Macaca mulatta: one gene and its partner. The protein of the gene in region 1 binds, or shares a complex with, the protein of each later gene. Links are inferred from orthologs where the notes say so. Each region holds a gene or a part of one and is shown on either strand. Other genes may lie near its edges.

What was found. Proteins that work in one complex are often made in the same cells at the same time.
Region 2: the proteins of AAGAB (region 1) and AP1S3 are in contact, whole or in part, in a crystal structure (PDB 9DDT), measured with the Homo sapiens proteins. The link is inferred for Macaca mulatta from reciprocal best matches to the Homo sapiens genes AAGAB and AP1S3. Residues at the interface, in NP_078942.3 of Homo sapiens: Asn51, Lys52, Tyr53, Tyr54, Glu108, Val109, Met110, Ile111, Gln128, Ile132, Gly135, Phe136, Glu137, Asp151, Phe153, Pro154, Glu155, Arg161, Gln164, Ala165, Asn167, Ala168, Asn169, Val170, Met176; in NP_001034658.1 of Homo sapiens: Arg10, Gln11, Lys13, Arg15, Gln37, Leu40, Ser41, Arg61, Tyr62, Ala63, Ser64, His85, Val88, Asp92, Phe95, Val98, Glu100, Leu101, Asp102, Ile104, Phe105, Asn106.

What each region holds. Positions count from the first base shown.
Region 1 is NC_133412.1:44,727,260-44,731,586, forward strand, and holds part of AAGAB (alpha- and gamma-adaptin-binding protein p34), read right to left. Parts: intron 2,169-4,327; coding exon 2,064-2,168; intron 1,791-2,063; coding exon 1,741-1,790; intron 1,094-1,740; coding exon 1,016-1,093; 3' UTR 1-1,015. UniProt on the Homo sapiens protein: May be involved in endocytic recycling of growth factor receptors such as EGFR.
Region 2 is NC_133417.1:129,025,847-129,030,173, reverse strand, and holds part of AP1S3 (AP-1 complex subunit sigma-3), read left to right. Parts: coding exon 1-72; intron 73-1,726; coding exon 1,727-1,835; intron 1,836-4,327. UniProt on the Homo sapiens protein: Subunit of clathrin-associated adaptor protein complex 1 that plays a role in protein sorting in the late-Golgi/trans-Golgi network (TGN) and/or endosomes.

The DNA.
Region 1 (4,327 bases):
CTGGAAGGGCAGAGAGGAGCTATGAACCTCGGAAGTCAAACAAGGTGCTCAGGAACTCACTGCCCAACATTTCGCTTCCCCACCCACTCCTTAGTGTTCCCCCTTTGGCAGTCATCTCTCTTTGGCTGTAAAGAGAAAAAGGGGGAAATGTGCCTTGTTTTGTGGGTATAAAGTATGACAACACAGCTCTGGCATCTCCAGCAGCAGGGGAGAACTCTAACTAAGGCAGAAGAGTTTCTTTACGAAAATCACAGTATATGATCACCTACGGTCTCCGTGGCCCATACAAGGACTCCTTAAGGTTCTCTCTAACATACAACCTATCTCCCACAACTCACTAGAGAGGTTTTATTCCCACTGGAATAGAAATCCTTTGCCTCATTTATTACAGTCTAAAAACCCACACTGGCTTTTTTATTCTTTCTAGCATGAGCTCAGACACTATACTTCAAAAGAATGCCCAGAAGCATTTTCTTAGGTAGAGACTAAGCTGTGGGCTAAGACTTTGGCCCCACATAGCTCACGTCAATTCTGCAGATGCCTCCTTTCCTCCCAATAAAAGCATCATAGCTCAGAGCTACAAGCTCCTTGAACGGAGAAAACCCAAATCACCCAGGAAAGTTGACACAACTCCTGATGTGCAGTATCAAGTGTGAATGCTGGAAATGCTACTTAAAAGGTTGACCAGGAATGGCCTGGAGGTTGTCTTCAACTTAAGTAAATCGCACAGACCTCAGAGATTTATCCTACCCTCATTCCTAGAACAACAACAAAAAATTTATATTTAAGAAATCCTCACTCATTACTATCACTGTATTCCTCGCTCTCTTACAATATACTGAGGAAAAAAGGATTTCTCCTTAACCTTCTACTAAAAACTAAAATTAAGGGGACCCTATAAACAAGTCAGGCAGCCAACATGATAATGGCAATTTTGGCAAAATATGACTGGGCTGAGTAGAGAGAGATCTCAGAGACAGCTAGCATTTGTTAGTCAAACCCCAGTATGAATAATTTAGTGCTCTTCATCAGATGAAAGGCCTTCAATTTCATCTCTGTCTCCCCCGATTGCCATCCAGAATGCTTTGGCCACCTGTGGAGAGAAGCATGCAACAAATGTTAGGCAACAGCTACATTTCAGCTTGTTTCATATGTTATGCCTTGAACTGACTGAGACCTACAATTCTGCACTTTGCCCTCCAGTCCTCTGGCAACACATATCAAAACCCTTGAATACCATTTGATCCATGATCGCCACATCTAGAAATTTATACCAATGATATATTTAGAGTTGTATACAAAGATGATGTGTAAGGATATGCACAGCTTCATTATTTATAGAAGCAAAAAATGCACATGACCTAAATGTCCAAAAGGGAACAGGATAAATTATGACACATTCATATCAGGGAACACCATCAACCATCCAAGTTTCCTGCCAATAACATGTGTTGGTAATAATATAACAAAACAACTAAGAGTCTTCTGGCCCAATAGTTAGAAAGGCAAACATTGTGAGTCTCAATGAAGGTTCCATGTCACTCACCATAGAGGTGAAAAATCTTGGTTTGAATGCAGCAACTATACTATTACTGTATAAATACTTAATTAGTTAGAAGTTAATATTCAATGAAAAGCTCACACTAAGACCTTCAGAAATACACAAGTGTGATATATAATTATAATAATAGCACTGGACCTTTTATAGGTACTCACTAAATACCCGGCTGATTGTCTCACCTTTTCTGCATGCACCTTTCTTTGCTCGTGAGGAAGTGTCGCAGCCTTGTCTAGGGGGAAAATGCATCTTAAGAAATTTGTCTAATAGCACAGGCCACGTAACACGTTGAAAGAAACAGAAGAAGGCAAAAGCAGGAAAAGTAAAAGGAAAGAGAATGAAGATGGAAATTTTTTTTTACCAAGTCCCACGAGTAGCTAAGTTTCTCAAGACAGCTGAGACCAGAACAAGGAATCCAATCCAGCAGTGAACAAAATAAAATGCTACTACATAAAACAGACAAGCATCAATACGGGAACATATTAGACACAAGGGATCCGATTACCTTTCATTTCCTTTAACTTTGAAAACAGTCTTTCAAAATTCTCCACATCTCCTCCTCCAGTAGTAAGACTGGCTAGTTCTTGAATATCCAGATCTAACATGGGATCTGAAATAGAGATTTGTCACATTATCTGTCACGTTATTTGCATATGTGCTACACTGAGAGAATCCTAAGGCAAATGATAGCCTTGATGAAGTCACCAATGATCGAAGGCCCAGTGTATATACCACCTTTACAGTTCATGGTGCCTCGCCCTGCTTGGCTGCTAGTGGGCCCTCACAAATGAAGCGTAACTATTTTATCCTCACAACATTGACATGAGGTAAGGAGTACTATTTCCATTCTAAAGATAAGAAAACCACAGCTTAGAGGTGAAGTGACTTGCCGAGGTCACAGCTAGTAAGTGGATCCAGACACAGGGGTTACCAACTCCAAAAGCATACTCACTCCACTAAGGTACATTGACTCACCAATAAATGACTAAAGTTTATACCATATTTTACTGTACAACAAATATTTTCACATCTATTATTGACAACAACTATAAAAGGTGATTAGAACAGATAACATTATCTGAGAATAACAGAAAATGATATGGAAAAAAAAACCTGTATCTAAAAATGAACTCATCTAAAATTACAGCTATTCAGAGGTAGAGCTGATTTAAATTCACATTTCCTTACTACTAATCTTTTACGGTTTCTACCTTGGCACACTGCTTCTTTATTAAAGTTTGTTTTTAATCAGAAATTTAACTTCTTCTCCATTCCAGGCCCACTACCTTCAGAATGTCTTCCCTGCCCATCCCAGTTTCACAGGTCTCCTTCCTTAGAATTCTTTCTACATTTACTGTTTCTAGAACTGTCTTAGCACTTGCATATATTACCTTTTATTCTAACATTTCTCCACCACTACTTTAATAAATACTACTACCATAAGAGAGAGAGTTTGCTTTGGATCTGCACCACTGAATGCTTTAACTTACATGGTCCCATTTCATCTTTGCAACAGCCCTATGAGGAAAGATTTGTCACCGTTATTTTACAGAAGAGGAAACTAACACCAACAGAGGTTAATTTACTCAAGGTCAGACCATTACTAGTGATAAAGCCATGATTTGAACCCAGCAGGGTTCCAATTACAGGACTCCAATGCCTATGACCTTAATCACTACATTATAGGTCCTATCTCTATATTTTTAGACTAAGCTCCATGAAGATAGGATGACTTATAATTATTTGCATCTATTACAATGCCATATAGACAATTTGGTGTTCAAAATGTATTTTGGTTAATATATTTGCTTTTGTTGAATGGACATGTTGTGTAGGAAGTTAGTATACAGGGCTGAAGATAAAAGTTTGTGATCTATCTGTGTATACATAGTAATTGAGCTGTTAATGCAGACAGAATCACTCCATGCCTAAATATAGATTTGGAAGAGTTTAAATGGAGCAATGAAGAATGTCAATATTTAAAGGCTGAGAAAAGGAGGGTATCTACCAAAGAAAGAGAAGGAATAATCAGAGAAGTAGGAAGAAAACCAGGTGACATCGTGTTGGGTGAGGCACGGGAAGATAATGTTTCAAAGAGGAATTGATCTGTAACACTGAATGCCGCCACAAGGTCAAGATGAGGACTGGAAAATATCTACCCGATTCAGTGGCATGGAGGTCATTGTTGGCCTTTGCACAGAGCTGCCGTAGTGGCATACCAGGGGCAAAAGACAGACAGGAGTGAGGTGAGGGGCAAATGGGAGGTAAGGAATAGAAATAAGTTTAGTAAAGAGATAAGGTGGAAGACATGGGATTGAGGAAGTGTTTGGTTTTTATTGATTTGGTTTTGCCTTAAATTTTTTTCTTAATTTATTCTTTAAAAAAAACTTGCAAAAATAGTATACAGAGTTCCTATATACTCTTCACCCACTTTCCCCAGTGTTAACATCTTATATGACCATGGTACAATTATAAAAATCAAGAAGTTAATATTGGTATAATGTCATTAACCACACCATAGACTTTATCAGTTTTTCCACTAATATCCTTTTTCTGTTCCAAGATCCTACATGGAATTTAGTTGTCAAATCTCCTTAGTCTTTTCCAATTTGTGACAGTTCTTCAGTCTTTCATTGTCTTTCATGACTTTAACACTTGTATGGTCAGTTACTTGTATAATGTCCCTTAACCGGGTTTATCAGATATTTTCTTATTATTAGATTGCAGTTATGCATTTTTGGTGAGAATACCTTCTCACTGCATCCTATA
Region 2 (4,327 bases), on another chromosome or scaffold:
GATTATTCTCTCCCGTGGTCACAGGACAAGCAGTTTTGTTGACTGGAAGGAACTAAAACTTGTTTATAAAAGGTGTGAGTAACTTTTTGAGAGCTCAGTTTCTCAGTCTTGCTTTGGTTTGTTCTAATCCTGAACATTTTAGATTGCTATATAGCAATTCCATCACTTACTGAAATCTTTGAAGGCTGGAGCCCAGATATTTGTACCAATAGACTAACTAGAAAATAACTCTCATTTTATTGAAAGAAATTCTAGGTGCCAGGATTCAGGATTCTAGGTAAATAAACTACACCTTGATAGTGCATGCATGCATTTAAGAAAAGTGGTATGAAAACCTGTTACATTCCCGGCATTGTTCTTTTTGAATTTTTTGGAGATGGAATCTCACTCTGTCACCCAGGCTGGAGTGCAATGGCATGATCTCGGCTCACTACAACTTCTACCTCCTGGGTTCAAGCGATTCTCTTGCCTCAGCCTCCCAAGTAGCTGGGATTGCAGGCATCTGCCACTATGCCTGACTAATTTTTGTATTTTAAGAGAGATGGGGTTTCACCATGTTGGCCAGGCTGGTCTGGAACTCCTGTGAGTTCCAGGTGATCAACTCAGGTGATCCACCTGCCTCGGCCTCCCAAAGCACTGAGATTACAAGTGTTAGCTATCATGCCCGGCCTTTCCTGGCATTGTTCTAATGGCTGTAAATACATCAGTGAACAAGACAGATGACATTCCTGCTGTCATGTAGTATACATATTTGTTAAGTAACCAAATAAAATATTTTCAGAAATGGGGTTGTGTTCGGTGGGACAGCTCTTATTATGCCTATTACTTGAATTTGTAATGAGTACATTGAGGACACAGAGTTTTAGTAGTCAGTTCCCAGTCACAGTAATTGAGTGTTAATTGCTAGAGCCAGGCTTCAAATCCAGATCCTTTTGGCTTTAAAGCCTGCGTATTCTTTTTACCATACCTGCTTGCCACGGCAAGACCATTACTAGAAAGGACCCACCATAGGTGAGAGAACTAAGCCTGAGAGGTAACATGATTTTGCCCTTGGAGACCCAGGTAATTGATGCCTAAGCCAGGAACAGAACACAGCTAACTTGACCTTGTATGCAACACCCCACTGCAACTCCTGGAAGGAGTTATGCTCCTTAGATATGCTCTTGCAAAGGGTGTCTATAAAACTCATTGGGAAAAACAGAGGTAACCTTCACAGACTGATATTCAATGGACTAAATTACCAGCAAGTGCCTGCAAAGCTCCATCTGCTGGGCCCAAGGTTGGAGTCTGACAAGTTGAGGAGGGAGGCCCACACAGAATGACTGAAGTCCATTGTGAAGCGGGAGAGTGGGGAGCGTGGGCTCCTGACAGCCCTGGTCAGGGCTTTCTATTTTACAAAAAACAATTGACAAGCTGGAGAGGGGTGTGACGACACCCTGATTACCAGGGGTGAAAGGATACTGTCCTCCTGATAATAGCTCTTCAAGGTACAATTTTGTTGAGAGCCTTTCATGCATAATTAACGGAAGTAATCCAACCCCCACAGCATTTTCATATTTTCTGATTTATATTTCAGGAGGCTATTGGGGGTGATGAATAATGATTTCATTCTTGGATGAGGAGAGGCTCGGGGGGGAGGAGGTGACTTTACATATTCACGGGAAAAACTGTCTCCAGGTTGCTTAATGTATCGTCATATTTTCCTTTTGTTATTTTTCATTTCAAGGTATGCTAGTTTATATTTTTGCTGTGCAATAGAAAATCAGGACAATGAGCTCTTGACGCTAGAGATTGTGCATCGTTACGTGGAGCTGCTGGACAAATATTTTGGAAATGTAAGTGTTGTCCTTGTCGGTTAGGATTAGCTACAGTCCCCATCTCAGCTCTTACTTCAGTTCTGTCTCTCATCGCATTCCTTTTCTCTCTCACATCTAAAATATGAATTGAACTTGAACCAAAGATCACCTTAGTCCCCTAAGATTAGAATACAAGACTTTTCTCCCTACCTGTAATTCTCAGTAAATGAAAGACCCAAAGCTTTCCTTTTTCCTTTTTAAATAGAGACAGGGTCCTGCTATATTGCCCAGGTTGGTCTTGAACTCTTGGCCTCAAGCAATTCTCCCACCTCAGCTTCCCAAAGAGCTAGGATTATAGGTATGAGCTACCACGCCCGGCCACCCAAAGCTTTCGAGAGGTGGATATATCTTTATCTTCAAACTACAAATGCACCAGAGACCTTATTTCAGTGAACCAGAATTTAACTCTGAAGGATTTCTTGATATTCTGTTCTTTATACTTCATTGACATTGTCATCTCTTTTCTGTTTTGACTTTTTATCCTTTCTCTGGCTTTTTTTCTAAGCTATAAGTATTCTTAGTTATTTATGCATAAGAAAAATAGCAACAAACAACAAAACCAGATCCTTTTCTTTCACATTGTTATTCAATAATCTTTTTGCACTTTCTGCCAAGCGATATGCTATACTAGGTGCTCCTGTCCTCAGAACTCATTCACTTGGCCGTGCTTACAGCATGGGTCCATCTTGACTCTCCAAGGAAATCAGCAAGTTACCACTGAACCCTCCTGTGGGTTGACACCAGCGATTCCTCTTGAGTCTTCACCTGCCTTCACCTGCTTCTCGCTGCAGCACCGTACCCTTGTTCACCATGACGCTTTCTTTAAATTCTTGATTTTGCCATGACATTGATTTCTGCTGACACTTGTCCTGTTATTTCTGAAGGCCCCTCCTTGGTTTCTTCCACTCAGCCATCCCTAAATGCCCTCATTTCTTCCTAACTCTGTGTGTACTGACTCTCTGCCCTGGAAATCCCTTACTATGTGACTCTTCTTCCCCTGGTTGGTGACAGTCTTCACTGGGCTTCTCATGGTCCAGAACCAAACTCATCTACTGAAAATCTGTTCTGTCTTGTGATTGGAATTTGTTATGTTCCAGGATCCTTCCGTGCAAAAGGATGCTGTTTCTTTTGTCTTTTTCTACACTTTACCGGAATCTGCCTCTATCTATTCAAATTGGGCTGACATTCATTTCCTTCTTTCCACTCTCACTGGTATAGGTTCACTTGGAATTTCAATTTTGCTTTTCTCTTAAACATCCTACCTGGCTTTTTATGCCTCTGAGCTTTTCTCTGTTCGCCCTCTTGCCTTATGAGTTACCATCTTCCTTAAAAAACCCAGATATAGGTGTGGCATTCCTTCACAGCCACTTTCCATCATGTACAATAAATAAAGTCAATCTCCTTAGCCTGTCGTTTAACCTTTCAAAGCATGGATCCCTGACCACTCCTCCAGCCTTATTGCACTTCCCTTTTTTATTGATTGATTTATTTATTGAGACAGAGTTTTGCTCTTGTTGCCCAGGCTGGAGTACAATGGCATGATCTCTGCTCACTGCAACCTCTGCCTCCCGAGTTCAAGTGATTCTCCTGCCTCAGCCTCCAGAGTAGCTGGGATTACAGTCCTCCGCCACCATGCCTGGCTCATTTTTATATTTTTATTAGAGATGGAGTTTCACCATGTTGGCCAGGCTAGTCTTGAACTCTTGACCTCGGGTGATCCGCCTGCCTTGGCCTCCCAACATCAGGCGTGAGCCACCGCCTCCAGGCTACATTTCCCTTTTTATATACCTGAGAGTTCTCCAGCAACAAGGAATGACCTTGGAGTGTCCCTCATTGGCACCCAATTTGCTCGACCACCAAATTGCAATTCTGTTGAGACCATGCTTTGTGACTCACTTTATACCCCCACCGCTTAACTTGTAACAGCTGTGGGCCAGATCTGATAGCAAATGTTCCAAAACATTTAATCCAGTTAACAGTCTCAAGAAATAAATCACTGGATTTAGAAAGCATTTTCTTCTCTTAATACCCTCTTCCCTTACTCACTGAAGATTTTTGTTAAGTGTTATGATAATCTGCTTCCAGAAGAGTTTTTTTTGGTTATTCTCGTTAACAGAATGAGCAGTATTTGCAATATTGAACAAATTTTATCAAATTTGTTGCAACACTTTTCATAAGGATGAACACTGGATAGATTTCTAAAACAATTTTTCCTCCCTCCCTTTTCTTCCCCCTTGCAAATGATATTGTAAGACCTAAAATGTTACTTCAGGGATTTCAGGTTGTTGGTCAGTATATAACAGCAATAAGACAACTAGACCATCTTTTCTTTCTCCTCTTGGTGTACTAAGTTTATTTTCATTTTTTTAAAGGAAAAATTTGCAAATGTATAATAGCACGTTTTCAAACATATTATTTAATTTAATACTTTCTACTATTCAAATGAATTCTCACATTTTTGTACTTTTCTT